Callithrix jacchus: one gene and its partners. The protein of the gene in region 2 interacts with the protein of the main gene of each other region in a biochemical or structural test. Links are inferred from orthologs where the notes say so. Each region holds a gene or a part of one and is shown on either strand. Other genes may lie near its edges.

The links.
Region 1: the proteins of ERBIN (region 2) and KCNA4 interact in a test that uses a peptide from one of them, tested with the Homo sapiens proteins (3 studies listed by BioGRID and IntAct, with this or other methods). The link is inferred for Callithrix jacchus from reciprocal best matches to the Homo sapiens genes ERBIN and KCNA4.
Region 3: the proteins of ERBIN (region 2) and SMAD2 form a complex in vitro, tested with the Homo sapiens proteins (2 studies listed by BioGRID). The link is inferred for Callithrix jacchus from reciprocal best matches to the Homo sapiens genes ERBIN and SMAD2.
Region 4: the proteins of ERBIN (region 2) and ARHGEF7 interact in a test that uses a peptide from one of them, tested with the Homo sapiens proteins (2 studies listed by BioGRID and IntAct). The link is inferred for Callithrix jacchus from reciprocal best matches to the Homo sapiens genes ERBIN and ARHGEF7.
Region 5: the proteins of ERBIN (region 2) and ATP2B4 interact in a test that uses a peptide from one of them, tested with the Homo sapiens proteins (2 studies listed by BioGRID and IntAct). The link is inferred for Callithrix jacchus from reciprocal best matches to the Homo sapiens genes ERBIN and ATP2B4.

Annotation. Positions count from the first base shown.
Region 1 is NC_133511.1:95,333,514-95,339,585, forward strand, and holds the start of KCNA4 (potassium voltage-gated channel subfamily A member 4), read right to left. Parts: upstream 3,851-6,072; 5' UTR 3,443-3,850; intron 3,320-3,442; exon of another isoform or gene 3,222-3,319; intron 310-3,221; 5' UTR 1-309. UniProt on the Homo sapiens protein: Voltage-gated potassium channel that mediates transmembrane potassium transport in excitable membranes. Forms tetrameric potassium-selective channels through which potassium ions pass in accordance with their electrochemical gradient.
Region 2 is NC_133503.1:143,566,312-143,572,623, forward strand, and holds the start of ERBIN (erbin), read right to left. Parts: upstream 4,099-6,312; 5' UTR 2,973-4,098; coding exon 2,877-2,972; intron 1-2,876. UniProt on the Homo sapiens protein: Acts as an adapter for the receptor ERBB2, in epithelia. By binding the unphosphorylated 'Tyr-1248' of receptor ERBB2, it may contribute to stabilize this unphosphorylated state.
Region 3 is NC_133514.1:90,963,859-90,969,497, forward strand, and holds part of SMAD2 (mothers against decapentaplegic homolog 2), read right to left. Parts: intron 5,273-5,639; coding exon 5,183-5,272; intron 4,166-5,182; coding exon 3,972-4,165; intron 3,140-3,971; coding exon 3,005-3,139; intron 1-3,004. UniProt on the Homo sapiens protein: Receptor-regulated SMAD (R-SMAD) that is an intracellular signal transducer and transcriptional modulator activated by TGF-beta (transforming growth factor) and activin type 1 receptor kinases.
Region 4 is NC_133502.1:26,851,269-26,857,143, reverse strand, and holds the end of ARHGEF7 (rho guanine nucleotide exchange factor 7), read right to left. Parts: intron 5,832-5,875; coding exon 5,777-5,831; intron 4,426-5,776; coding exon 4,303-4,425; 3' UTR 1,734-4,302; downstream 1-1,733. UniProt on the Homo sapiens protein: Acts as a RAC1 guanine nucleotide exchange factor (GEF) and can induce membrane ruffling. Functions in cell migration, attachment and cell spreading. Promotes targeting of RAC1 to focal adhesions. May function as a positive regulator of apoptosis.
Region 5 is NC_133520.1:30,768,118-30,773,756, forward strand, and holds part of ATP2B4 (plasma membrane calcium-transporting ATPase 4), read left to right. Parts: coding exon 1-105; intron 106-1,394; coding exon 1,395-1,652; intron 1,653-2,153; coding exon 2,154-2,279; intron 2,280-2,733; coding exon 2,734-2,859; intron 2,860-3,978; coding exon 3,979-4,014; intron 4,015-5,563; coding exon 5,564-5,639. UniProt on the Homo sapiens protein: Calcium/calmodulin-regulated and magnesium-dependent enzyme that catalyzes the hydrolysis of ATP coupled with the transport of calcium out of the cell. By regulating sperm cell calcium homeostasis, may play a role in sperm motility.

The DNA of each region.
Region 1 (6,072 bases), on a different chromosome or scaffold from region 2:
TAAGCCTTTACTGTTCGCACTTGCCTTCTAATGATGGCTCCACCCATGTTAAGATGTGGTTTGAAGTATGTCCAGCCATTTCTGCTCAAAGTCTATCAGGATGATTCTCCAGGCTCTCCTTTTAAATTCATCAAAGGCTTCCTGGACCCAGGTGCAATGCCACACCATAGATAGAGGCAAAGACCCTGGGAGGTAGAGAAGGTGCTAGATGAGGTGTCAGCAGAAGCAAAACCAGCTCTGAAGTCTCCATAGACATCAAGGAAATGCAGAGCATCCTTCAGCCAAAATCATGCAGAAGAAGCGCTTCACCTGAAAAAGGATTGGAAACAAGCATAGGAAAAAAAATAAAAACGAAACAAATCATAAAGAGCAAACCGAGCATTTGTCTTCACATACACATCCTTCTCTTAACTTCAAGCAGGTCATATAACACACTAAGCACCCATACATTTTAAAGAGTATGGGGCAGGCTATTCTTACTCACTAAACATCCTTCTTTGCTTCTTCTTCGGTTATTATATTAGCTCAGTATTTTTTATGGCAACTCAATTATTTTTCCTCTCTCCCCTCATGGCCCACATGGCTCTTGTTTCTATCTTCCCCTTCACGAACACCAGGTCTTAATTCTCACTGTCACTCTCTTCATTCCACAAAAAATAATGCTGTGACTTTATAACTGCTTCCATCATTCATCTATGTCGAGGCAGTTTTTAAAATTTCCACTCGTAAAATGTTTCTGAATTAAGTGCCCTTCCACTCCTCCCTATCTTCTGACTCAGGATTAGGGGAGTCAGAAGAAAAAAAAAAGAAAAACAAAAACCAAACAGCATTCTTTTGTCCAGACGGCACCACTTGAATGAGCTTCAATCACCTCATCCATAAAGTACAAATAATAATGCAACTTCCCCGAGCCCATGTTTGTAAGGATTAAATGAGATAATGGATGTTGATAAAATATCACAGTGCCTTTTACCTAATGAATGGCAATGAAACACTGGCAGTTATGAATAACATGACAGTAACCTATGTTTTTATTGTCTATCTACACAGTCCCAAATGTTTGTGTCCTTAGGCCACTAAAGTAAGGGAAGATGGAATGTGAGGACATACAGGACATCTTGAGACTCACCAATGGCCTGTGTTAACTTGGCACTGCCTGACTCCCTGTAGCATGTCCCCATTGTTTTTCTGTCCCCCTTAATCCTGAACACCCCATACCACCCACAGACTAGGAACTAATGCCAGTTTCCACTTCCCTAATAATCATTTTCTCTCCTTGTGGTCGCCCCATGTTCACCTCAGTGGTTCCTCCTACACTCTGCTCAAGGGACTATCTCCTTAGTTTTTAAATTTCAGCTTGTGTGGACTTCATTCTTAGCCTATAATACACCCCCACCTTCACTTCAATAAATCCACATCCCCAACATCCCCCTCCTCTCTCCGTCTCTCTCTCTTTGCCCACTTTTATTTACAATCTTCCACTTCCTAATCACATGTCCCTTGCAGCTCTGATCTGCTCCCTCTGTCACCTGGTCCTTCTTCTTCCTTAGTTTGTTCTCCCAAGATCCAGGTAATTCATCTCCTCAGCCAAGTCCTGTAAAAGCCGCCATCCAAATCTCCTATCTCCTCTTGACTTTTCCATGTACTCTGTTCAACAAGACTTCCAAGAATGCAGGGAGTAACCCAGAGAACTGGAGAGAATGATGATAGCCAGAATTCAGGGCATCTACCAGCTTCTATTACTGGAAGCACTTGGAAAGCATAAGAGAAATGGCTTTTTGAAGCCATTAACAGGATTCAGCTCTTGACCACCTGCTGCTTCTTGCTGATCCTGTCAGCCTAGCAGCCTAAACACACTGAATTTCACGAAGTGACAAGCATAGAAGTGGCAAACAGAAGTCTTCCCAATCATATACCCCTTCCCAATCATACTCAATTTCCTAGGCAAGAAGGGCATTTTGATTGTGACACAAACCCCAGAAAATACACCACTGAGGGCATCTCACATGCTAGCTCCCTTCCTTGGCCTGACTGCTAACATCTCATACGCTGAAATGTTTACCCTCAAGGAGTCTCTAAATCTCTGCTTACAAAACCATCCTGGGGTGATATTCACTGTGGAGTGTCAGGCCAACATCCTTTCAAGACTTGCACAGACCAGATAGCTTGAGAGTTTGCTCAGTTTCTTCCCCAGCTCCCCCAAAATGATCATTTCAATGAAGCCCCAGTGTAGCCCAAGTTCCTGTATACCTGAGTACTACACATACCTGCCCTCCCACCCAACTGACTCCCAGAAGGTCATGAATTAGAGAGTCTTCTAATTCACCATCATCTCTTCGGGAGATCTAGAACTGCCCTCTTTCTGCTCTACACCAAATAATTTCACATTTATTTTATTTATTTGGGATTTATTTATTTATTTATTTGGGATTATTAGTTTTTGTTTATCTAACTCCCTCCTCCACCAGACAAATAGCAAATTGCCTTCTTTTTATTGTCTATTAGTTACTTCACTATCTCTGATTTAGAAAGAAAGAGGGAGAGAAAGAAGAGAAAAGAAAAATCATTCCTCCAGCAAACCAGACTGGTTTTAAAATCTCTCTTCTTTCTCAAGGTACTCCTGTTAAGAGAGTCTATTCAAGTCAATTCCCAGGAGCCTTTATGAGAGTGATCTTTGCAGAGGAATTTGTCTTCTTCTTTAACACCATTAAACTAACAGGATTTTGCAGACTACCTATTCCCTAATTCCGGCGCACCCCCCCCAAACAACAGCCAAACATCCCGCCCCTCCTCCTCTCACCGCCCCCCACCCCCAACAACAAGGCTGTCCGTCTCTCAGTGCCAATTCCTGCAACTGTGTCAGGGTGGTACCTGAACCTTATCTGAGAGACAGAGACAGAGAGAGAAACTGAGACAGAGAGAGAGAGAGGGAATCAGAAAAGCCAACACCGTGAGAAATATACACTTCAACGCACGCCATTTATGCAGCCCCTATGTATGTTGCTCAAATGCTCGGAAAATGCACGCGAATCCAAACATTGGGAAAGGCAGCAATTCAGACCCGTTCACCAGCTGTTCCCAAAGGAAGGGAACCGGTGAGGATCGGAGGAGGCGAAACGATGCTAAATCTTAACCCTCTCGTTGGGAAACGACATCTTTAATCGCGCCCTCGCCTCCAGACCTCAGTTCCCGCTCCAGCACATTAGCCAGGGCGCACTCACCGCATCCCCAGGGTTGGGAAAATAACAACTGTTGGCCCCCCGGAGCGCCGCGCAGCATCCGCACCTCCCTTCTCCCACCTCCTGGTTTATTTTTAACCGCCTTCCATTCATGCCCTTCTGTCACATTCCCGATATTATTTATCCCTCAGAGGTCCACTGTTTCTTAACAGCCAAAAGAAGAGGGCGGAGGAAGGGTTTTTTTGAAAAGGTATCATACTTACCGTTCCCCGGCGGGGCGAAAAATAAAAATAAAGAAAATCCACCGGCTGGCTTGTTTTTCCCCCTCAAGCTGCAACAGCTGGAGGAGGGGAAGAATGATCTTGGAGTGTTAAAGGGAATCACTCGGGTTTGGCAGGTGGAGGCTCCAAATATCCACGGAACAAGTTCTGTTGCCTGGCCCGGCGGGGGGCACAGAGTCCTCGCGGCTGGAGCCTGGGGGTGGGGGTCGGGGCTGCCCCAGAGAAGACCCCAAGACTCCTGGTTCCTCTGGAGTTCAGTACAGGAGGGATTGCCTGGGAAAGGAAGTCAAGGTTCCCCCGAAAAGAAGCAAAATCCTAGACAGCAGTGATCACTTGTTAAGCCCGAATTGCTCCTCCAACATCCATCCCTCTCTCGCTCTCGCTGGCTGCGGGAGCAGCACACGCCTCCCCTGGCCGCGAACGCGCGCCGGGCGGGGGCGGGGCCAGGGCCGAGCCGAGGGTGTGGCGTTCGCGACGGTCGCCAGGGGCGCCTCCAGGAGCGGCGGGGAGGGCGCAGTCACGACGCCGCGACTCCCCGCACTCTGGCCGGGCCCCCAGACTCCCAGGATCCGGGATCGATTCCAGGAGTCTTTGGCTGCGGTCCCCAGAGGAGAGGAGCAAATCCTGGAGAAGTGTCCCTTTTGGGGCCGGAATGGGGGTTTCGACGGCAGCGCGGGAGTCCCCAGAGGGCCTGGGAGCGGGGAGCTCCCCGGGAGGTGCAGTCCTGAAAATGGGGTCCTTTGGGACATCTTCTCCACTCCCTAACTTGCTTTCTCCAGATCTCCCCTCGAGCCTCGTCCTCTTCTCCACACCCCACCCCCTCCCAAAGCGGGTTTGTCGGGTTGGGAGCCCGGGGCACCTCCGGCGAGGTTGCAGGCGGGGAGCCCTCCTGTGCCTGCCAGCGCGCCCAGATCCCCCAGTCTCCGCCTTCCCTGCACACAGGAGTTGAGTGGCTTCAGGGTCGGGGTTGGGCCTCCGGGGTGCGGAGGAGACCGACTTTCAACCTGTATTCCACCCCGGGTAGGGGAATGTTACGAAATTGGAATCAGGCCCAGGCTAGGGGCTGTGCAAGGGAAGCAGCAGTCCTACGGGAAGAGGGTTGGAGAGATGAATGAGTTCCAGGGTGGGCCCGGGGCTGGGGGCTTTGGAAAGCGGGGAAGAGCCCGCAGATAACCTGTTGCTGCAAAAAGAAATACGGCTCTGGTACCGACCGAGGGCTCTTTGGATCCCTCAGGATAGAAATCAAGGAGATCTTAGCAGAAAGCAAGTTTCTTTGGTTTTCTTTCTTTTAATTAAATCTTGCGCGCACAAGGGAGCTAACACCAAGAAAAAAAAGTGGGCTGCTCCTCGAAGTCAGGGTATGGGTTTCTTTTACGGGCCTCTCCCATAAGGGGACATAGGGGAACTATGGACAGAGCATATAGAGGTGGAGATTTTCTGGTGCACTTCTTCATAGAACCTATGTATCATTCGCATTTTAAATCTCCACCTCTGAGCGTGAATTTTTGCATTAAAATAAGGAAAAGGTCACTGAGTTGAAAGTTAAACCTAGCTGCAAGCCGGGACCTCGGGCAAGTCCTTGGTCCCCTAAAGCAGGAACGTCTGGTTAAAAACTTCTTGGGCCTTTCATGCGGACTGGCTGAAGTTTCTATCTGAGGAAGGGTTTCTCCTTGTTTCTTGCTTATTTCTTTGGACCACATTAAAACGGTAAAGTAGACAGCTCGCCTGTCTGAGGCCTGCCAGAATCAAGCAGGCTAGAGGTTTGGCTCCGGGAAGTCTCTGTCTTATGCTTATTATTATTATTTTGTCTTTTTGTTCTTTTCCTTTTTTGTGGAGAATGGGGTTTAAGCGTGCTCCACAGGGCCCAGCAGCCCGAGGATCTCTATCTTAGTGATCTTTCCCACTGCCCATTTCTATTAAAAAAAAAAAAAAAAAAAAAAGGTTCTACAGTTCATCCCCACCCCACTTCCACACACGCGAGCGTGCGTGAGTGAACACATGGACACACACACGCGCGCGCGCGCACACAAAACCAGAAGTTCAAGTGGCGACAGGGTCTCTGTAGAACCTCTCCCAGCGCGCCCGATGAAGCATGCAGGCAGTGGCGGCGCGTGCCCGGACTGTTGGAGCAAATCCGACCTTGGGCGGGTTGGTTGGCGCCGGGACGGTCACTGTCGTCCTCGGGGAAGCAGCTTTGTTCAAGGGCCCTATTGGGCCTCCTCCTTTTGTGATGCTCAATTAATTATTAAGGGAAATATTCCCGAGCTGAATTATAGATATGCCCTGCACTCACTCACCTAACCGCTGCCGGCTTGGAAAAGGACACCTGGAGGGCTGCTTTTTGTTGCTGTTTGATTTTTCTTTTATCTTTTTAAATAACGAACACACCCTCAAATGGAATTGTAATCAGTGTGAAGAAAAAAGAAGAGAAGAAATGAAACCTGGAGTGGACCCTGGTTTTTCTAACTTCTTTCAGCTAATGCAGCTTGAAATTTTGGCATGCATAAGTTAACCTGTAACCCCTGGCCTCAATCCTGGTGGAGGAGCTGAGAGAAAGGCAACTTCATGCTGGCTCTAGAGACATTCTTTGCCTCAATTCATTCCCTACTGCA
Region 2 (6,312 bases):
ACAGAGCATAATTCATGTATACATATTCTATGGCAGTATAGTGTACATTCAAAAACTGAATAATCAATCCACTGTAAACAGCTAAACATAGATAAAATATATGCTGTCAGAAAAGAAAAAAGAGCGCAGTGGCTCATGCCTGCAATCTCAGCACTTTGGGAGGCCAAGGCAGGCCAATCACCTGAGGTCAGGAGTTCAAGACCAGCCTGGCCAACAAGGCTAAATCAATCTGTCTCTACTAAATATTTACAAAAATTAGCCAGGCGCAGTGGCATGCACCTGTAATCCCAACTGTTTGGGAGGCTGAGGCAGGAGAATCGCTGGAACCTGGGAGGTGGAGGTTGTGGTGAGTCAAGATCGTGGCCACTGCACTCCAGCCTGGGCAACAGAGCAAGACTCCATCTCAAAAAAAAAAAAAAAAAAAAAAGGAAAAGAAAAGACAAAGACATCTTTACAGGTTTAGAATAGAAATGTATTCCCGGAAAAAGAAAACTCAAGCAAGCAAGTAACAGATTAGAGAAATGAATGAGAAAGGCAAAGAGTCAAAATGCAAGCAGCCAAGTAAGGTATGTAAAGAGAATCTGGATAAGCAGCAATTACAGAAAAAAAAAGCTGTTACTCAACATCACTAAAATTCTGCATAATCCAAAATACTTTGTAAATACCGCCATAATCTATTTCCAAAACAAAAGCAACTTAAAGTCTAAATCATATTATCTATAAGCAGTTATTTCAAATAAGTAATTTTGAAATATACACCTATTTTCTACTAATAGTTCAACACCAATGTCTAAAATCATCTATTTTAGAGATTTACCAATATGTTAAATTGTATCTATAGCTATCACTTCATTAAGAAATAGCATACAATAAAAATTTGTGTTCCATGTTTGTACCACTGTAAGCTTTTTATACATAAAGTTTACAATAGTTTGATCTCAAACAGCAAGGAGACTTCATACCTTAGTACTACTTGAATCAGCTGAAGTCCTGAAAATTCATAATTACCTTGAATAAATACAGCCTTTAAGCATCCATTTTGTGCAATATGCACTTTGGAAGTACTCTCTATTTCCCAATTTAATCTAAGAAAATCCAGACCATACTAAAAATATCCAAATTTTGAAGCCATTTTAAAATATTTTAACTGTGTTCTTTTAACCTCTTTTCAAACCTATCACGGTTTAAACAAGACTTCAAAAATATTTACAGTTTGACAATAGTATAAAAACTAAAATTTAAGCTAATTCAGTTATTAACAGAATTCCAAGTAAACTACGAAGTAATTTAGGCCTTACTGAGAAGAAAAAAAGAAACACAAAGGTAAACACCACACTTTATAAAATGTGTTGCCTGCACTGAAACATACTACTCTTCTCCTGGAAAAAAAAATCAAGAACTAAATCTAAAAATAGAGGTTCAAATAGTCATTTTCAAGTGCTGCAATACTTTTTTATTCAAAATTTGCTAATAAACAACCATCTTCATAAAGCGATAATTCTCTGTAAAGGACTTGCTCTGTTAAGGTTTTGCTGCTTTGAAGCCAAGTATAAGCCATATAAGGAAACTGAAGTTCAATGTCATTTATTTTGTTGAGCTCTTTCAGATGCCCAAGAATAACCTCTTTTGCAGCCTAATGATGTGTTCCAAAATCATACAGTAGATCAGTTATGCATTTTAAATTATTTGATAAAGCTAGTTTGACTTAACAGGAATTACTTGATGGTTCACAAATCTTACCAACAATGAAAAAAAAAAAAATCTCCTGAGACGATGCCCTGGAGGGGAGAAAAAGTTAAAAACTACAGTAATAAATAAAAGACTGCCTTTGGAAATGTACTTAATGAAGCTCAAGTAGCAAAGAACAAATTGTGAAATAATTTTATCCTGAACTTTAAAACCTAATTTTTCCTCTTTGAACTAAGAAATCAACTCTCTCCTCCAGTTTCCGGTCATTACGTGAAATAGCATAGGCAATCTAAACATCAGTATATATTTAGGATATACTTACCACCAGGATACCAAATTTATTTCATATATATTCAAAAGTACAGTATTGTATTTCACCTCCCTGTACCACAAAAGTACTGGGGGAAAAAACTAAACAGAAAAAGACTACACCACCACTGAAAAAAAGTGTGAGTTTACTGCTATCAAAACTAGTTCGATCTATGAAGACGACCCATTGGTTCAGAAGTGTTCATAGCTCTGACTGGTGGAATGTCTGCCATGCTTCATGAATTCTGCCCCCACAGATTTAGGCAGAACCTATCACTATTTAGGCAGAACCGACCAAAAACATTGGGGCCAACACAAAAATGTAAATACCATACTACTCAAAAAGTACAGCTTTTTATCACAATCACTGCGATTCCCTTGAAAATCGTTTTAAGCGTTTTACTTCCCAGTCTGCTCTGAACTGTACAGAAGTCCTAAGAAATCAAACGTCTTACAGGTTGTTGTTATTGTCGTTTAATTACACCTCTCTATGCTTAGTCCTCACTCCTTTTTTCCTAATGGATCAGTTACAAGAAAAGTCTAGTCGATACTTGCTTTCAATTAATTAAACAAGTTATACGGCGCTAACCTTCTGAAAAACACACGTTACTACACAACTAAAGAAATATATTATCCACTCTGTAAAACAACTAAGAATGGCAAGATTTTTTAGTAGTTGTTTCTAAAATCCAACGAAATATACTGATTAGGGTTGGGAAAAAAAATAAAAACTTCTATATTCGATTTACGCAAGTGCCAATATAATCGGTAGGAGTATAAACAAACGCGGCAGCCATCTCAATAACAGCAAATCACTCGCAGCAGCGACCAAACTTTCTTCCCAAACAGAAGGTGCCAGACTGAGCAACTTAACATACACTCTGTACGTTCGAGAAAGTCAAAACTTCTGGCCCCTGTACTGAACAAAGACACTCGTTTCTTCGGATTGCTGAAAACTTTTCGTCCCACTGCATTCTAACAACCTCTTCCAAAAAATCCAAAGTCCAGATGGGGGTGGGGGGAGGGGCTGCAGTTCGACCAATTGGCCCCTTAATTATTATCCGCTTCTATATGAGAAAAGGAGGATTTAGGACAACTGGAGAAAAGTGAAAAACAGTAAAGTTCATCTCTTTTTCCGAGTCACAAAGTCCCATGAACATTGTGACTCAGAGACGCTTTTCGTGAAAATTACCTTTCGGTGGGATAGCGTCTCAGGGCAGCTTTTTCAAGGCTTCGCTTGACATGATTTCCTTTCCTTCATTAGTCACTTTGGATCCAGCTGAATTTCTCTCTCGGGTGAGAGCGGATGTGGACTGGCCTCAAGCAGAAGAGTAGGTGGCTTTGGTGGGGGTTGGGGTGCGGGCTGGCTTCCTGGTCTCGAGTTTTGCAGGAGTTTCCCAGCCCCAACTAGGATCTCCGCCGAGAAAAAAAAACTTTACACTCGTGACACCGCCCGGAATTGCAGTGCGAAACTCACTTCCTGCCTTGGCGAAAAGCAGGATCCAGCTCCGTCCAGGGGAACCCGGAAAACCAGCTCCGCGCGCACCGGAGAGGGGGAGGGGAGGGGACAGCCGCCGGGAGCCTAGGGCTCCGGGCAACTGGCGCGCCCCGCACAACGGACAGCGGCGGCACCCGGCCGGCGGGGGCAAGGACACTGACCAGGCGCTCGACGAGCCTCGGTCGCGCTAGGCCGCCACCGCTCCTCTCCGCCGCCCCCAGAGCCGGGCGGCAGGGTTATTGTCTCGACAGTGCTTGCCGCGCCCTTCGTCCGCGCCGCCGCTGCCGCCGTCACTCGGAGCCTGAGCCGAAGAGCCTGGCAGGCTCAATGGCGGCCCCCTAGTCGGGCCGTCCGTCCTTCGTCCGTCCCTCCCTGCCTTCCCCACTAGTCTTCGAACCCTCTTCTCCTCCCTCTCCCGTTTTCCCGCCGCCGTCCCTCCGCTGCCCTCCTTGTTCTCCTTCCCCAGCGGTGGTGGCTCCAGGAGACAAGCAGGGGGCGGGAGCAGGGGGCAGCTTCGTCTCTTCACGAGCTCGCCGGGCCGCGGTAGGGGCCGAGGCTGCGTCCCGCGCCGCCGCGCCACATTCACTCGAGCGAGAGACTGCGAGGGGAGGGAGGTAGGAGGGAGTGGAGAGAAAGGAGGAGGAATGGGGCAGGGGCGGAGGGGAGTTACTGCCTCACAGGCCGCGGCGGCTACAGCGCCACCGCCCCGACCGTGAAGGGGGAAAGAGGCTGCGCGCCGCGACTCCGCGGCGGGGGCGGGGCGGGGCGCCCTCCCGCCGGCTTCGCCCTAACCGCCAACAGCCTGGCTGGAGGCTGGCGCGGGCCAGTCAGCGCGCGGGGGCGGTGCGGCCCGACGTCTGTGGCTGGGGGCGGCGGGCCGGGGGCCGGGGGCCGGGGGAGGGGCCGCCGGCGGCCGCGGGTTCGCGTGCGAGGCGCGGCGTGAGGCCCGCTCCGGCCCGGGTCCCCGGGCCTGCCCGCCTCTCCCCGCCGGCTCCTCGACCCCGCACTTCCCCTGCTCGCGAGCCCCCCAAGGTGGGAAACGCTGGCGACGCCGACCCTGCTGCCTGCTTGCGGCCCCACGCCCAGCCAGGGAGACAGATAGCCCCCAGGCCTCCCCCGCCCCGGCCGAGGGAGTTTCTTTGTACAACAGTAATCGGTGCACAAGGGTTGCTGGAGTCCAGCCCCTATTTGAAGGCAGCAGGTATCTCTTGCAGCTGCAGCGTTCCAACTTCCTCTAATGGCACGCTCAGGTCGCAGGAAACCACAGCGGCAGTGCCGCGCAGCTTCCCACGCCCGCCCTTGGAGCTTGTTCCCCAGCCGCGCAGCTCAGCCTCCAAGTCTCAGCCTCACACCGGCGGGGAGACAAAGCTGGCGCTGGGAGGGGGAAAATGGCCCGCGAAATGACCTCAAGATCATGCCTTTGTTAGAGGAAACATTGGGTACGCTCCGATGCAACGCAGGCTTCCAAACCCAGCAGTTCGGTGGTGGTGCAGTCGTTGAATTGCGCCGGCCCTAATATTTCAGCCTGGCAGGGTCTGCGTTTACTGCGGAGAGAGACTCTTAAGCATTCTGTCAACACATATGGCAAATAGAAAGCCTCAACCATAACATTGCACAGTTTTTGCAGTTCTTGCTTTAAATATGTTCACAGAAAAGACGGCCTTGTTTTACCCAGAGAAGGAGCGTAATGCGGAAGAATCATCCGCCACCCCCATTCTCTGCTGTACTTAACAGTGATGATAATTACTGAGTCCCTGAAGTCCCTGGTTCAGTTCTGTCTTCCAGAGATAATTATTTATTACCAAGTTTGAATAAAGAGGTATATCCCCTACAGACGATTTTTTGAATAAAGAGCTGTATACCTTACAGACTTTTTTTTTTTGTCTTGCAAAGGAAATTTCATAAATTCCACTAAGTAATTATTTACCAAAAGGAGTTGTACATTAGAGGCAAACACTTGAAATAACGCCGAAGATATTCAAGTTATTTTATTCAGGTTGGGAGCATTTTTAACTACTTGCAGAACTGCTAGAATTAATACAGGTATTATTTCTTTAGTACAGAGCAGAAGTTGAAGATTTACAGGTAGTACTGAAGTGTTCAGATATACTCAGTGCTGAATTAGAGGTAAGAGTATTAGCTAGAAGCTAGGAAATGGTAGGCAGCTATACCAGTAATACCAAGCTGGATATCTATTTTCTGTGAAAATGAATCTTAACCACTGCATACAAAGCTAAAGTACAAGCTATTTGTAATCATCGCTAGGAAGATTTCTTTCTCTGTTTTCAAAAACCGGCGTGGGTCTGATTAGAACTCAGTGGCACAGCTCTGAACTGAAAGGGTCATTGTCCTAAAGCATCCCAGGATGGACTAACTCCCATACCAGTGGAAAACCAGCTGGATTCTGTGATTCCAGAGTTGCCTCTAATCTCAGGTTGATTCAAGACCCCTTTAAATGTGATGCCATAGATTCGAGTAATCCTACCACCACCACCAACCTCCACCCCACCCCCCCCCGCGCCCCGCTCTAAACCTAAACAAGTGATTAGGCCACTGCTTTAGGCTGAGACCTGCCCTGGTCCTAGCCTTTTTAAAATTTAAACTCATACGCAGGACCAATCTGGCAGACTACCATCCAGGCTAGAAAAGTCCCTATAACCAAAAACCTTTTCTCCAACTCACCTGAAATTCTGCCATTAGAATTTTATCCCTTAAGTAGTTTTTTTTCTCTAGCACAAAACCATAATCCTGGGAAAAGTAATATTTTAAGCCTTATTAGTCATTTATACCTAATTCATCAGATTGTTTCCCTAAAG
Region 3 (5,639 bases), on a different chromosome or scaffold from region 2:
AAGTTCTATAGACTAAAAGAAGCTAGTACGGTTCAGGATTGGTCCAGCCTAAATTCTACCTAAAAAGTATATTTTTCCAAGGATTCCTAACTGGTAAAGTCTAAGTGTTTGAAGCAGAAAATTCAATTCAAATAGATACTACTATAATAAAGAGGTAAAATGCTCCCTGAAAATAAACATTAGGATACTAACACATTATTTCCAACATGCTGTCTGAATAAAACATTTATGTTCAGAAAGGCACCTGAATAGCTGAATAAACTGCATATAAAATAAAATCATGTATACGATTTCCTCAACTGTAATTCCCAGGAGGAAAAACAAGTTCAAAAGATTTTCATCAGTTTAACATTTACACTGCTGAACATTTTTGAGCAATTCAAGATAACACCGACACATATCCAAACCGAATTTTAAAATTAGCAAAAGAAAGAGGCTGGGCATGGTGGGTCACGCCTGTAATCCCAGGACTTTGAGAGGTGAAGGCAGGCAGATCACCTGAGGTCAGGAGTTTGAGACCAGCCTGACCAACATGGAGAAACCCCGTCTCTACTAAAAATATAAAAAATTAGCTGGGCATGGTGGCACATGCCTGTAATCCCAGCTTGCTCAGTATGCTGAGGCAGGAGAATCACTTGAACCCAGGAGGCAGAGGTTGTGGTGAGCCAAGATTGCACCACTGTACTCCAGCCAGGGCAACAAGAATAAAACTATCTCAAAGAAAAAAGGGGGGGAGGGGGCGACCAGAGGGTTAAGGGTATCCTTCAATAACCTTTTACAGTATCTATTCAATAAGCTAACCACAAACTTTAAGTATCAAACTTTTCATTTAAGTGTCAGTACCCCCAAATTCTTAAAACAAAAATTCTAAGAATAAACTATCTTCTTATGCTCAAACAATAAAGAACATAAGTGTACATATTATGCATATTTTAAAAGTTAAAGCTAATAAAATTAAACAGAGCTAAGCTTTGTGAGTTTAACCAATATCTCAAAGATCTAATCAGAAAGAAATGCTGAACCTTAAAATGCGTATCCTATTTTTTTCCATTATCATTATGATAAATAATAAAGCTATTAGCATTTTTGAGAAAATGTTAAAATTTCCTTAAAGTGGTTTTGCTGTTGCTTGGAACTGGATAAAGCCCCACTGTCTAGAAAAGCAAATGGGTATAATCTACTCCTATTTCTACTTTACAAAATATTCCAATCTAAATAATTAAAGGAATAAAAAAGCAAGGAAAAATGAGCCCAAACATTTTCACAAGTGAAAGCCACTAAACATTCTGGTGAATATCCTTCCAAATAATTACTGGGTATGTGTGTTACAATACTGCATGCTTGTACCTAAGTTTCTTAGTATTGCTGGCTGAACAGTAATTCCCACACTAATGACTTAAAATGCCTCCCCTTCCCGACAGCAACATTCACAAAACTCCACTCCCAGCCAAGTTTACAAAAGTAAAACCAAATTTTTCTACCCAGCAATTGCCCTGTTTCACAGTCTCATGTTTTCCCTCATCCTAGTATATCATACTATATCTCACCCTCTCCCTCTCTTAACTTTAGTAAGTTTGTATTTCTTAAAAACCTAAAAAGTAGCCTTAAATCCTCTTCTGGAATAAAACAGTAATCAAGGAAATATACATTAAAATAATCAAAAACCACTTCGCATCTGTAAAACCAGCTATTAAAAAAAAATACTACTTTTCTTAGTTATTATCTTCCTTTTCTTTTTTTCTTCCTTTTCTTATATATTAAAAACTATCGGCCGGGCACAGTGGCTCAAGCCTGTAATCCCAGCACTTTGGGAGGCCGAGGCGGGTGGATCACGAGGTCAAGAGATCGAGACCATTCTGGTCAACATGGTGAAACCCTGTCTCTACTAAAAATATTTTAAAAAATTAGCTGGGCATGGTGGCGAGTGCCTGTAATCCCAGCTACTCAGGAGGCTGAGGCAGGAGAATTGCCTGAACCCAGGAGGCGGAGGTTGCGGTGAGCCGAGATCGCGCCATTGCACTCCAGCCTGGGTAACAAGAGCAAAACTCCGTCTCAAAAAAAAAAAAAAAAAAAACTATCTTCAATGAGTAAGTATTATTTCCATGATGAATACAAGAAATAATTATTTAAGTAGTAAAACTGTATTTTAAATTTTTTGTAAATGCTCTTAAGTTCCTTACATATTTTTAGTGTATAAAATAAGCGTGGAACAGAGGAACATTACAAAAGGAAGAAAGAAATCAAGACACTATAGTTTAATCCTCAAGCTAACATCACGTCATTTCTGCTAGGGAGAAAAATCAAACAAAAAGGGAAACATACAAGAAAACTTAACAAAATATTAGTTGTTCTCCTAAAAAAAATTAAAAATGAAAAAGCCAGATATCATATGGTGGAGTATTACTGGATCACATAATATATCAGAACAAAATTTGAGAACCATGTAGCTGAATTCATTTTTCATCTGGAATTACTGAGATATAGACAGAACATAATTAAAACAAAGGTTTTCTGATGTTCAGTATAACATGGAAGTTTTGCTATGTCTATAAAACTAAGTATATTTCTTATAAAAATGTTACATTTCTGTTAAATATTACCAAGTTAGCTAAGAAAAAATGTTCACTGGGTGGATTTTCAGTCACATGTGCTTCGGGGGCACTTTTTTCCTACACCATTTGTTTTGCTTACATTCTGCATCTCGCTTAGCTTCAACAACTAAGACAAACTTACTAAGATCTTTTCTTTTCTGCTTCTCACAGTACTTTGATTAAAGTCACTGCAAAAGAAAATGAAATATAAAGTAAAACTCTTCTCCAAACAAAACTGTTTAATTTACTAGGCTTAGACATTTCACAAGATACTCGCCCAACAAACCAGATTTTTCTACTAAAAACTAAGAAGCATTTTTTAAAAAGTGAAACCACAATTTACTAATACTTGAATGCTTATAAACAAAATTTCTATCTATCCAAGTTTTAGGAGATTCAGAAGGCAAAAATACCTGGAATATAATTACTCTGTGGCTCAATTCCTGCCGGGAAGTTAGTGTTTTCTGGAATGGAGTGAGTATAGTCATCCAGAGGCGGAAGTTCTGTTAGGATCTCAGTATGTCGGGGCACTAATACTGGAGGCAAAACTGAAAAAGTTCAAGAAATCAAAGTTAACGGCAAAGAGCAAAGGAGAGTGGGGGGACCTTTTTTAGTTTGCAACAAGACGACGACAAAGCAGTTGTAGCTTAATTTTTAAAGTTAGGAACCACCTATTTGACTATATATTTAACTAGTTTATTTAACTAGGTATCTATCAGTTATTGAAAAAATGACAAATCTGACTATGGCTTTAACTTACATAGGCTACTATTCAAATTTCCAAGTTCTAATTTATCTCAAACTTTTGGGAACAATGTGATCCTGGTAACATTATATTACCATAAAAGTTCATATATCCCCACTGGAAAAGTTAACATTGTCTTTATCTGTAAAATCAGATATAGAAAACTTTCACAGCTATTGCTATATTTTTTAATAGTTTCAGGTAGACAACTAACTAAATGAAAGTCTTGTCACAAGCTTTACTAAACAGCTTATATACAAACAATGTCATTAAAGTACTTCTAAAAGCACTCCAAGTGCAAAATGCTTAAAAATAAGTTACTGCAGCAGAGACATGTAGAAGCACATCAGTGTAGCTCTAAGCAGACTGCCAATCTACAGTATTTTCTGGATACATACTTCGATGCCAAATCATATGCTATTCCAAGAAACAGACATATCTTTCCCTGATATGTTTTCCCATTAAAAATTTAAAAAAATAAAAAACATTTTAAATTACCACCAAATAATATGCACAATTTAAGGTAATTTATTAGATTTTTACACTAAAATTTTCCTGGATCACAACAGTACCTAAATATACTTAAGTTCAGGCATTTAATACAAAACCAGGAAAAAAACTTGCAATGTTCCCACCTGGTGTCTCAACTCTCTGATAGTGGTAAGGGTTTACACATACTTCATCCTTTTTAAGATTAAAAGCATATTCGCAGTTTTCAATTGCCTTGAGTTCATGATGACTGTGAAGATCAGGCCAGCGCCATAATCGGCAATATATAACATGTGGCAATCCTTTTCGATGGGATACCTGGAGACGACCATCAAGAGACCTATTGGGAAGCAAGGGAAAAAGAAAGGAGGAAACTTTAGAAAAAAAACTGTTGTCAAATGGAATAATAAATTAGTACATTAAGAGCATAAAGAAAAGAATGACAGCCATTTAGTTAGTTTTAGTGAGAATCAAGAAGAAAAATGTACTATTTAATGGATCTGATAAAAGTATGCAGCAGCACTAGCAAATGTTTCTGATAAATATGTCACATAAATGACTCAAATGCCAATGAAAGGCTAACTACATGGGAAAATTAATTTTTAAAAAAGTATTATGCAGTTATACTGGAAAAACTTTGTCAACTTCTATGTTTAGTCAATCAAACTCATTTTAGAGATGCTTCTAAGGGTATTAATTCTGGAGGTGACTGAACAGTCAAAAAAGGAACTAGTGTGAAGAATGATAAATACCAACAATGATGTGATAGTAACTTCCTCAGACTACTGCAACTCATTACCCAGTTGTGACTGCTTTGAGAACTGAGGTATATTTATATAGTTCACAAATAAATGTGGATGGTAATGAATATGATGAGATGAAATGAACAAATACCATATACGCAAAAAAGAGAATGAAATGATTTTAAAAAGTAACATAAAAATGAGTTAACCTACTGTTAATTGTGATATAAGGGGTTCATTAAATATGTATTTATTAGTAAAAAGATGAGATTTTGATAACAAATTTAGTAAAACTGATCATGTATCTACTTAAAAATTAGCCCAACAACAGATTATAATCTGATCTCAAGCTAAAATAAATAGTTATCAAACTTCTTATTCTTTAGGGGATACAATAAAGAAGATTCAAACTAGAACTGCATTGATTAAAACATCAGCTGAAACATTTAATATATTTTTTATACTGGCAAGCAGATATTTTAAATGCTATGCCTTATTTTACATTAAGGAAACATCCTAGGCAAAATTACACTAAGCAACCCCATATAGGTCTTCCAAAATATAACCCCCCACCCACAAGATCTCTAGGATTCGACAGAGGGCAGAATATTCACCTGGTTTGTTCAGAGAAGCTGTAAAGGCCTGTTGTATCCCACTGATCTATCGTATTTGGTGTACTCAGTCCCCAAATTTCAGAGCAAGTGCTGTGCATAAATTGAAAAACAAAAAATTGATGTGAACATGGAAGCATGGTTATTCAAAATACCATGATGTAAAACATGGAGAATGTACAGAATACTTCCTTCACCCAGAAAATATACAATTGCTTCACTTTTTCACAGGCATTTAGTGCTAGTTACTATATTTTCTATATGAAGGAAGCCAATAAAATGGAACATGTGACTCCAGATAAGTCATGATTATGTTTTTAAAATGTGAACACCAATGCCCTCTAGTTCAATGAATCACACCTATAATGCCCTTTCCAATTTCCTCTATTCAAAAGATCTAAAACCTGTGCCATGAGCTTTACTAACAGTGCTTCATTTTATAATCCAGTTTTTATAAAAA
Region 4 (5,875 bases), on a different chromosome or scaffold from region 2:
CTGACTAACTAGGATGTGGCAGTGCTGGGGACTCCCACTTCCAAAGCCAGGCTGGTGCTGAGTCAGCGGCTTCCAGAGAAGCCCTCCGCAATGAAGACAGGTTTCCCCCTCACATCGTGGCTCCATTCCTTCTCTGAGAAACCAGAACTGTGACTGCCAAGACTGTAATTTCCAAAACACCACGTAAAAATTTGGCAAATTCTATTAACGCACAAACGTTTCCAGAAGTTAATCATGAGCTATCTGTGCACAGCTGCACAGGTATACACACAAGGTTATTCAGTAGAGCATTTCTGCAATATCGACTGCCCTCCCAAGTATCTACTCAGAGGTGGCTGCAGTGCCTTCAATCAGAATATTTATGCCATGGTCGAAAACAATGAAAGGGCTGAACTATATATACCCATATGGAAAGCGATCTAAGATAAGGTTCAAAGAGGCAAATTAGAAAATACTATATTTAATGCGATCTCACTTGCTGGGAAAAAAGTTAAACACAGAAACTGCACACTGCCATTTGCTCAGAAGAATGAAGAGAAGAACCTAGGCACAGAACCTGGGCACAGCTACTTCTGGAGAACAGGGCAGGGCACTGGGTGGGCACAGAACCTGGGCACAGCTACTTCTGGAGAACAGGGCAGGGCACTGGGTGGGCACAGAACCTGGGCACAGCTACTTCTGGAGAACAGGGCAGGGCACGGTGGGCACAGAACCTGGGCACAGCTACTTCTGGAGAACAGGGCAGGGCACTGGGTGGCAGAATACCCGCTTTTTACTTTATATCTTGGTGTGTTGTTTCTCTTTTCCCCATAAACAGGTATTCTTTTCACAATTAAAAACTCAAGTACATGCTAGTTTTTAATTAGGAAAATAATACCTGCTTATGGGAAAGATAGAAATAGTTATGCAAGAAAATAAAGTGAAAAGTATACACGGCTCAGTATACCTTTAAGAACAGTACCCACGGCTCATACCCGTGCTCGTTTTCCATTATTGGTGAGGTACCGAGTACAAATACCTGCTTACTCCACCAATAAGGTAACAATTCAAACTGGGTGACTTATGCATCCCACACCCTTGTTACAATGCAGATCAACAGAAATGAAGTTCTGAACGTCTACTTGTTTCAGGCTGAACTGATTCAAGTCCTTGAAAGCTTAGATCCTGGCTTCCTTTGGGCTCCTGCCGGGGCAGTGTGTGTGGCCGCCTGACCTCTGGCTGGCTGAAATGACGTGCAGCAGAGCCGTGGACACGCCTGGGCCAGGTCCACGGACAGGAGACCCCGCTCGGTTCTCCCAGCCACCCGTCCAGAAGACACCCTTGTTGACACCACAGCCACACGAGGACACACACGAGCAATTTCCTCTTGCCTGACGACAGCTCCTAAAAGGGACCCACAGACACCTTCAGGAAAGTTTCCACTTACTCAATCCCACACAACAGCGTCCTGAGCGCCCTCCAGAATGAAGCTCATTTTTCCAGGTGCAGGTGAGGGCCTGGGCACTGTGCCCACCGGCAGGACCTGTCACTGCAGGTTTTCTTCCTAAGACTTCCAGCGTTCTTTCCTTGTCTTTAAAAATCTTCACATTTTCCCAAACTCTAGACTTGAAAAGAAACATGAAATCTTCCAGTATCAAAAACATACAGGATGTTAAAATTTAAAACAGCCCAAAGAAACGGTAAAGCCATCAAGCACACGGAAAACACATCAGAGGATGAAGCGGCACATTCCGTGACGTAAGAAAAATAACCAGTTTAATAATCACAACAGTGTAGCATCAACATCGTAGTAGTCAACACTAGGACACTGTCTATGACATTTCCATTAGGAGTTTCGTCACACTTGGTGTCCCAGAGAGGTGAAGAAATGATTGGCATGAAGGAGTCCACAGGACCAGGGCAGGTGTTCAAGGTCCCAGATGCCCAGCGCATGTGGACAGGTACAGACGCCACCGAGTGTGATGAACGAGCTTCGGGTGCTGCACCCCAACATCGCTGAAAACTCAAAGTGCTTCAAATCTACAGGATAAGAAATGGCTTCATCTCCTCATCCACACACGGTGAGAGCAAAGGAGTAACCCTTGGGCAAATCGTGGCCCCTTTAAACATTTATAGCAAGTTCCCACCCCCTTGGGAGGTCACACGGTGAAACAGATACAGTTATATACAACAGGGCAGGTTTTTAAAAAGAGTTGCTCTCAGACGCATTTTTCCTGCTCCCTAAAAAGCTGAGGAAGATACTGGATCCACAGAAAGAAAAGGCAATGCAGTAACATGAGGCCGTCGTGGCCACACCGTCCAGGGGAAGGGCTGTTAAAAACACAAGTATTCTTGTGAAATACTTCAATCTGAGCATTAAGGCAGGTCTGCAGGAGATCAGACAGCAACGCTACCGGCTCCGAGAGGACATGAGTGTCACCTCCCGGCAGAGGGGCGGAGAGATCAGAGTTGTTCCTGAGTTAACACCTGCTACAACTGCAAACTTCAACACACTCAGGTTAAATGGTTTCCCACTGCAATGTCTTACGCATCACCAAAAAATAACTTGCAAAACTGAAGCTTACCAAAACAGGAAGTGTTGCTCTTTGCTTGTGCCAGCATGAGTGAGTAATATGCTAAGTTTAGGAAGCTGGCAATTCTGATGAAAAGTCCAAGTGAGGCCAGATTCTGCAGCATGGGCCAGGTCCATGCTGAGCCCAGACAGACCCTGTGGCCAGAGTCAGGGCAGGAAGCTGGAGGGACTGCTGGGCACCAGAGACTGTAATTGCCAAGGACAAGGAAGAACCGTCAACAGCAACAGAACGCCCTCCCAGGGTGTCTGGCTCAAAGGCATCAGAAAACCGAGGATTCAGGTGCAGTTAAAAAGGGCAATTTGGCCAACAGACTAAAAATCAGAAAATCTGATGCCAAGTGAGTTGTTCTGAGACCAATAATCCACGGTGCCGCAATTTTGGCTTTTAAAGATAGAATGCCTATTCTATGGGAAAATGTCTCACTTTAAAACCAACCTTTTCATGGGAGGGGAAACCAAAAGCGAAGTCCCTGTGATCACCATGATTTATTGCTGAAGCAGAACAAAAACCTGCCCCGGGCTGCACCGGCTTTGCAGAGCCAGCCTGGGCCCAGCAAGCCGCCGTGAGGACAGCATGTGCTTTGAAGAGCCAGTCTGGATCCAGCAAGCTATGGCGAGGACAGGCTTCCTTCCCCCGTCTCCTCTGCCCTGGGACACAGTGGGGGAAATGTTCCCTGTTTATGCCTGCATTACTTAGTGGAACCTAAGATGTATATTGCTTTATTCTTGCTGAAAGAGGGGAGTTTACTTTTGGTGAACACTGAACCCTGCTGGCTGCAGCCTACGGTGAAGCGGACCTCAGGGGGAGTCTGGCCTGACAGCAAAACTCCACCCATCAGTACCAGCCTGCAGCATGACCTCCATCTGCTTTCATCAGCTGCAGTGACTTACAATAAATAATACATTCTATTTACAAGTTCTAATAATATCTCTCTTTAAGGGAGGACAAAACTATTTTGTTATTACCGAACTAGCCTATACAGAAACATGTGTCATCTCCCAAAATGCAGCAAACTTATCTGAGAATCACAGTACTCAGCGGACAAGAGCAAACACCTCTAGGTGGATGCACTGGTGCTGCACGGGCCTTCCTCGAGCTCAAGACTGAGTCTGTCAGCCAGCAAGCTGCCCTCAGAACTCTGCAGGTCTGGGACTGTCACGCTGCTTTAAGACTTCTGAATGGGAATGACGTGTACCTTTGCAGGTATAAATAAGGTTATTTAGAAATACCGACACGGGAAGTACTGTCACAGCACGGAGGAGGCCATGATGGTGAAAGACAAACCAGACATCCACCAGGCTTTTGCTTCCGGTGGGTGTGGACGTGGGAATTCTCATTCATGTAGCTGGAAAGGACATTCTAGCACAGGGATTAGCCCTGACAGAACCACCACAGGTATGCATTCAAACTGGGATATTTACAAGTAACATGTATATATAATATTTATATATTCGATTAAAAGCCTGGACAACCAAGCCTTTCAGTCAAGTCACCGAACTTATTGCAGAATGAGGTAACTGAGATGTTCGCAGTGGGATTGACGCAGCTCAGGTCCTCAGAGTCAATCCCTCCCATCTGGATTCTTCCGTGATGGTTTGATGGTCTCCGTTCGCAGAATAAGCTCCAGCTTTTCTATGTGCAGAGAGCCAGGTGGCATCCCACAGCCCTGCCTGTGGTCCTGAGCGCACCCTCAGAACTGATCTTGGACAGAAAGAACTACGGACGCCCCTTACAGATTGGTCTCGTCCCAGGCAGGATCGTTCATGTTCTTCAGGACCCTCCTCACCAGCTTCTCTAAGTCTTTGCGGGCTCTCTGCTCTTCCTCCAGAGACTTCTTCATCTTCTTGTTGTCCTGAAAATTAAGCAGATCACAGTACGCTCACTATCTCTGCGACCGCGTAGGGCTTCCTTTCCCCAAATACGCATCCTCGAGGAGCTAAGGCCTCAATTCATGAAATCCTGCGTGAGCTGCCTGTGGACTGTGAGGTCATAGGGGTCCGTGAAGCTTAACCACCTGGACAGGGTGGCGGTGCTCCTGACTCTGCAGCTGCTCCCAGGATGAAAACGGTCCTAATGGCTCTTATGAAGTCCACAAATGAATCTCTATTGAACATACCGTAAGAAAATGGCTGGAAACTGCAGATGGGATAGCTCCTACTCAGCTTTTCTGTGCATTTATAACCACCTTCCAGAGTTATAGAAAGGACTAGAAGTAACAGCAACTGACAGGTGCTGGAGCAAGGGAGTGAGCACCTGCTCTGAGCAGCTGAACCCGGGCACATCTCAGGATGAGGAGGCACGCGCACTGGGATGTGTGCTGCTGCTAGGGGCAGAGCATGAACATGGGAGCCCACCCACCAGCCAGAGGTGTACCTGGACACCCAGCAGACACTGCGTAGAATGGCGGAGAACTGTGCAGTCCCACACAGCCACCTACTCTCAGCTCTTTATCCAGGCCATACTCCTAAGGCCGCTCCTCACCCAAAATATCCCAACCTTCCCCCGTCTGGCTAGAGAGGGGGCCAGTCACTCATATTTAATATTACGTGCCAATGTCCAGAACACGCCTAGTGAGTCACCACATCTGGCTTGCTGACTTGGCTTCGGAAGCCAAGGACCATCCAGTGTCAGAGGCTAATCTCAGGGGTACCCCACAGGATTTGTCACCAGACAGAACTTCCGATATTTTAAAATTAATCTTCCAACAGAATTTGCAATGGTTTATGACATCAAAATCAGTATTGTTAAAAAAAAAAAAAAAAAAAGACTTGAAACAAGTCACTTTACAGACAACCAATTGTTTTATCTGCTGGACTTCTGAGAGACAAGACCTCCTTTCAGTTTTTGCTTATAGACAATCAGCTTATTTTTATGTATATGTAATTTTTTGAGACAGAGTCATGCTCTGTCACCCAGGCTAGAGTGCAGTGGCATGATCTCAGCTCACTGCAACCTCCACCTCCTGGGTCCAAGTGACTCTCCAGCCTCAGCCTCCTGAGTAGCAGGGATTACAGGCAACTGCCACCATGCCCAGCTAATTTTTGTATTTTCAGTAGAGATGGGTTTTTGCCCACCTCAGCCTCCTGAAGTGCTGGGATTATAGGCGTGAGCCACCACACCTGGCCAGCTTCTTTTTAATAAAGTGTTTTTTCTTCCCATTTGGAAAAAAAAAAAAAAAAACTGAAAGATGGATTGTGACGTACCTGTCTTAACTCTTGCACTTCATCCTTTAATGCATATACAGTGTCCACAAGACTCCTGAAACAGGAAACAGAGCACACACATAAACAGGGTGAGGCCTG
Region 5 (5,639 bases), on a different chromosome or scaffold from region 2:
TAGTGTGGGAAGCCCTTCAAGATGTCACACTCATCATCCTGGAGATTGCAGCCATCATCTCCCTGGTCCTGTCTTTTTATCGCCCAGCTGGCGAAGAAAATGAACGTGAGTGTCCTAAACAGCTCAGTGTGACTCTGATTCTGGGTTCTTTCCACCACCAGCAAAAAGCACTTAAAACAGGTTATGTGGCTGACAGGTTATAGCTTAAAACATTCCCCTATTATCCAGAGTGGCCTTTCCAAAGGAAACCAACCAGCAGCTACTAAGCTATTCTTCCAACTCATCCTTATTCCAAGGGTTCCTCCCCACCCCACCCCCCACCCACTTTCTCCCATTAAATCCTTTTTCAGAATGTCAGGAATCTTCTACCCTTTTAAGAAATTTTATTTATTTATTTATTTATTTATTTATTTATTTGTTCATTCATTAATTCATTATTTTTAAATGGATTCTTGTTCTGTCACCCAGGCTGAGCGCAGCAGCTTGATCTGGACTTACTGCAACCTCCTGAGTTCAAGCAATTTTCATGTCTCAGCCTCCTGAGTAGCTGTGATTACAGGTGCCATCACGTCTGGCTAATTTTTATATTTTTAGTAGAGACAGGGCCTCACCATGTTGGCCAGACTGGTGTCCTAACCTCAGGTGATCCACCTGCCTCGGCCTCCCAAAGTGCTGGAGTTACAGGTGTGAGCCACTTAATAATTTATTAATAATAAAATAATTTTATTATTATGTCCCCAAACCAGCCTATTTAATAATTTTTGTGACATAGAGACAAGATCTCACTATGTTGCCCCTGTTGGTCTCAAACTCCTGGGATCAAGCAATCTTTCCGCCTCAGCCTCCCAGAGTTCCGGGATTACAGGTGTGAGCCTGTAATCCTTTCCACCACCAAAAAGCACTTAGTATTGGTGACTGACAGGTTATAGCTTAAAACATTCCCCCTGTTATCCAGAGTGGGCTTTCCAAAGGAAACCAACTAGTAGCTACTCAGCTATTCTTCCAACCAGGAATTCTCTACCCTTAATCCAACCAACAAAACCCTGCATCTTAAAGTGCCCCCCCACCACCAATTGTCTGGCTTTTTGGGAAGTAGCAGTGAAAGCCTGACCATGTTGGGAATCATAAGTGTGACCTTACATGTGGCTTGCCTAAATTTGATAGTTTGTACTATTTAGTCACGTGCATTTTTGGATTAACGTGAGTAGTTACACTGGTGATAAGACAGTACTCAATCCTGCTATCCTCTGATATCCTCTTCTAGCCAACAGTTGTATTTGCTATTATTCTCTTTTTCTGACTTGCCATCTCGGGGGGATTGTGGAAGCACTACTCCTATTCCTCAATGTCAACAAAAGCCCTTCAGTGACTATTTCTCTCCCTTCCTGGGATAGTGTGTGGTCAAGCCGCAACTGCCCCAGAAGATGAAAACGAGGCACAAGCCGGCTGGATTGAGGGGGCAGCCATACTTTTCTCCGTGATCATCGTGGTGTTAGTGACTGCCTTTAATGATTGGAGCAAAGAGAAGCAATTCCGAGGGCTGCAGAACCGCATTGAACAGGAGCAAAAGTTCTCCATCATTCGAAATGGTCAACTCATCCAGCTTCCTGTGGCTGAGATTGTGGTGGGTGATATTGCCCAAGTCAAATACGGTGAGAGCTCTGTATTTCTTGTACTCACCCCTCGCCCCCCACCACCCCTATTTAAGGGGTAGATCCTTTGGCACGAGAGGGCTGGGAATTGCTGAAAACCTCAGAAGATAAGATCCCAAATTGTATTCACTTCTAAGTTAGAGTTTAAGGAGGTTGGGAGAAGGAATTTCGGAAAGGATTAGCTGAAACTCTCCCACAAGATTGTCAGGCTTGTACCCTGTGTGTCTTAAGGTTAAAGTGTATGATATTCAGGCCATGGAAAGGTGTTGGGGATGAATAATAGTTTGAATTTATAATGCCTGGAAAGCAGTCTTCTCCCAGGGTGAACAGAGCTGAAGTCTTATAAAGACCCTCCATGTACTCTCGGCCATTGCTCTCTAGGTAGGGCCCATGGGAGCAGCCCTGAGATGGGGTCGAAGGAGTTGGAGGTCCCTGTCCTCAGCCAGGTCCCTCTCCTCTTACTACCTCCTTCACTGTCCCCACGTCCTCTTTGTGCTCTAGGTGATCTGCTGCCTGCAGATGGGGTCTTGATCCAAGGGAATGATCTGAAGATTGACGAGAGCTCTCTGACAGGGGAATCCGACCATGTCAAGAAGTACCTGGAAAAAGACCCCATGTTGCTCTCAGGTATAGGCCCCAGCTACCCAAGTTCACATTTACCTCCCTGCAAACAGCCAGACCACAGGATCCAGACCCCGTCTCTCTTCTGGCTATGTCCCATTTCCTTCCCTGGGGTTTAGCTGGGGCAACAGCATTTTGGTGGATGAAATACAAGGATATCAGTCAGCCTAAATGAAGTTTTCCAGGAAACAAGTGTTATAAGGGCCTTGGAGGGGCTCTGCTCGTTGCAGGGGTGGGAGTGGGAGCGGGTGGGAGAGCCTACCTAAAGCAGTTAGATACGGTTTCCTCCTTACTCACAATTTGCCTGATCTGTTTTAAATGCGCCCAGCCCTTGACCTTTTCCTACTGTGCTAAGCACAGCATTATCCATGGGGTAAGGAGGATGATTTTTTTCTTCTTAGTCTGTGTTTCATACCAAATCATGTCTAGGTATTTAAAAACCCTCTCCTTTCCCATGTAGGCACCCATGTCATGGAAGGTTCTGGCAGGATGGTGGTGACTGCTGTGGGTATCAACTCTCAGACTGGAATCATCCTTACTCTCTTGGGGGTCAATGAGGATGACGAAGGGGAGAAGAAGAAGAAAGGTAAGGGGCATCTGGAATGAGATTCTTTTTCCTCTCATTCCTGCGGACAAACAAGGAAGCGAGGGAGCCGATCTGGATAGAAAGCCTAGTTGAAAGAGTCTGCCGCGATGAAGAACGCGGATATCCAGACTGCCTGCCGAGATAAAGATGTGAATCCTTGGCTCCAGGGAGCTCTGATGAAAACTAGATCTTGGCTCTAGGCTCCCAAGTCAGGCTGAATTTGAGCCTTGATTTTTGTGTCTAACTGTAGCTTGTAAAAGGATGAGTTATAAAGCTACGTGAAATGAACTGGCTAGGTGCTGTAGCCCAGATGCCTTCCGTGTACCCCTCTTCCTTCCCCAACTTTCTTCCTCAAAGTTGGGGGGTGAAATGAACCATTGAGGCTAAGAGAAAACTGGCCAGAAGAATAAAATAGATTTCTGTGAAACTGTGGGCTCTCAGTGGAAGACAGACACAGCTAGAAAAGTCAGGAACAGTTAGCTCGGGCTTTGCCACTCAGTTGTTCCTGAAGGAAAGAATAACAGAGGCAGAAAGAGGAAAAGATACTAAAACCAAGTCTACACATTTCCCTAACCATTCCTTCTTCCCTTAGGGGAGAAAAGGTTGCTACCACTTGGCTGGAGGGTCATCTTGAGCTGTTTAGTGGAGGGCAGTTTATGAAAAGGAAACAAAACACATTCTTTCAGGAACTAAGCAATTCATTTCTGCAGCTACCTGCAGATGAATCAGGAGGAAGCTTGCCTGGTGCTGTTGAAGTAACACGGAGACACATTTCAGAGTCTTTGCCGTCAGGAAGAAACAGTTCAAACCTCTCACTTCCTAATCCCCACCCCATTTTCCCAAGCAATGTGACTCAGGCCAGGAGCAAGAGAAAGCAGCTCAGGTGTGAGTATGCACTCACCTACATGAGCGTTTTGGTGGATATCACGAGGATTCATGAGAGCCTCTAGCAAGAATGAATGAAAGCAGAGATGTGAGCTTCCTTTACATTTATGTCCCTTCCCTGCAACCCAACACCTTTGCTGTCGCCCTTCTGGGCTCTGAGCAGGACCAACAAATTAGATCTCTTAATAGTCACTTTGGGTTTCGACCCCACTTTTTTCTTTCTTGTTCAAACAGGTAAAAAACAAGGAGTCCCTGAAAATCGCAACAAAGGTAACCTCTCCAACCACTCATTTATCATCTCTACCTGCCCATGCTCAAACCAGACCTTTCCAGGCCATCTGCCTTCTCCCTTTTCCTCTCCATAAATCTGTTATCTGCTGCTCAGATACCTCACCCTGAGGAAGGTGCAGAGATTTTTTTGGGGTGGTCTCAAGGTCCTGATCCCAATCTAAGATGAGACAACAGCACCCTCTGCTGTTGGCTCACAGAACCTCATGTCACGGTTTCTCTTGGGGAATGCGTAGGATTAATTTGCTCTTCAGAGGGAGCTGAGCTCTGCTTCATTGGCCTCAGCCTGATTTAAACACTAACAGTCATCAGTTTCTGGGTTGGAAGACTTCAGGGTCCTCATAGTGGAGGGAGGTAGGGTGGGCAGTCCCTGCACCCTCCTCTTGCTAGCTTCCTCATCGGTGTCCTCTTCTGGTCTGGATTCCTTCTCCACCAGTCTTCTCAGAGGTGCTTGGAGAGAGCCCTTACTCTGTACCTCTCTCCCCACCTCCTTCTCTGTTCTTGCCATAGTCTGTTTTCTTCCTCCTGATCTGATGTGTGTTTCTCTTTTGGTGGCTGTGTTCACATCCCATCTCCGTCTTCTCGTTTGTGAGTCTGACAGCAGGGACTACTCAGGAAGGGCATCCTACACAAGGGGCTGAGCCCTACAGGGGTGAAAGTGGAGTGGTGCTGGGAGCCAGCAAGAACTGCTCTCTTGAGATGCTGCTAGAGATTTGTTTTTACTTCGTCACCCACATCATAGCAGTCTTTAGAAATCAAGTCGTTACATCGGAAAACCAGGGTTAAACAGAAATAATTCTGTAATTTTAGGTCTTTAACTCTTCTTTTAAAAGCACAATGGATTTATATGTGTCTCTTTCCCTGCTTTCTCTTATTCCAGGAGGTCCCTCACACCAGCTTCTTCCCTCTCCCCAAAGACTTAACCCCAGGTCCCACCCTGTATCTCTCTACCTTTGTCAGGCAGGAAAGAAAGGGAATTTCCTTTTCCTATCCTTCAACTGCTAGAAGGAGCTGGAAAATACTTTGGGTCTGGGGGTATGTGTTTCTTCCCTGACAGTCAAGAGAGAGAGAAAGAGAGATAAAGCATTTAACAGAGCAATCTTGTGCTCTAGAAACATCTACCAACCCTCTCCTTCAGCCCCTTTCTGCAGTAAAGATTCACTATTTTAAGCACTGAGTTCCAGGAAGGATGGTTGTTACAATGGTGCTTAGTGACATGATTAATCCCCTTGCAGGAATAAACCTGGCTTGGGGCTCCGAGGTAGTGCCAGGAAGCTGCCACTGAAGAAGAAATCCATACACTAAAAGCACCCCTGTTTCATCTAAAGTCATTAGAATATTATTCCAAAGGCCCTAATAGAGCATCGAAGGCAAGTTCCATGTCTAGCATGAGTTAGGAGTGGTCAGAACTGATGGCAGAGTCCAAGGTATATTCTGGAAAGGAGACAGGAGGGTTTTTTGTTTCCAACTGCCTGCCGCTCAGTGCTACCATCTTTCCTGCTCACCCGTCCTATTTGTGTATATACTCTAGCAAAGACCCAGGACGGAGTGGCCCTGGAAATCCAGCCACTCAACAGCCAGGAGGGAACCGACAATGAGGAAAAGGA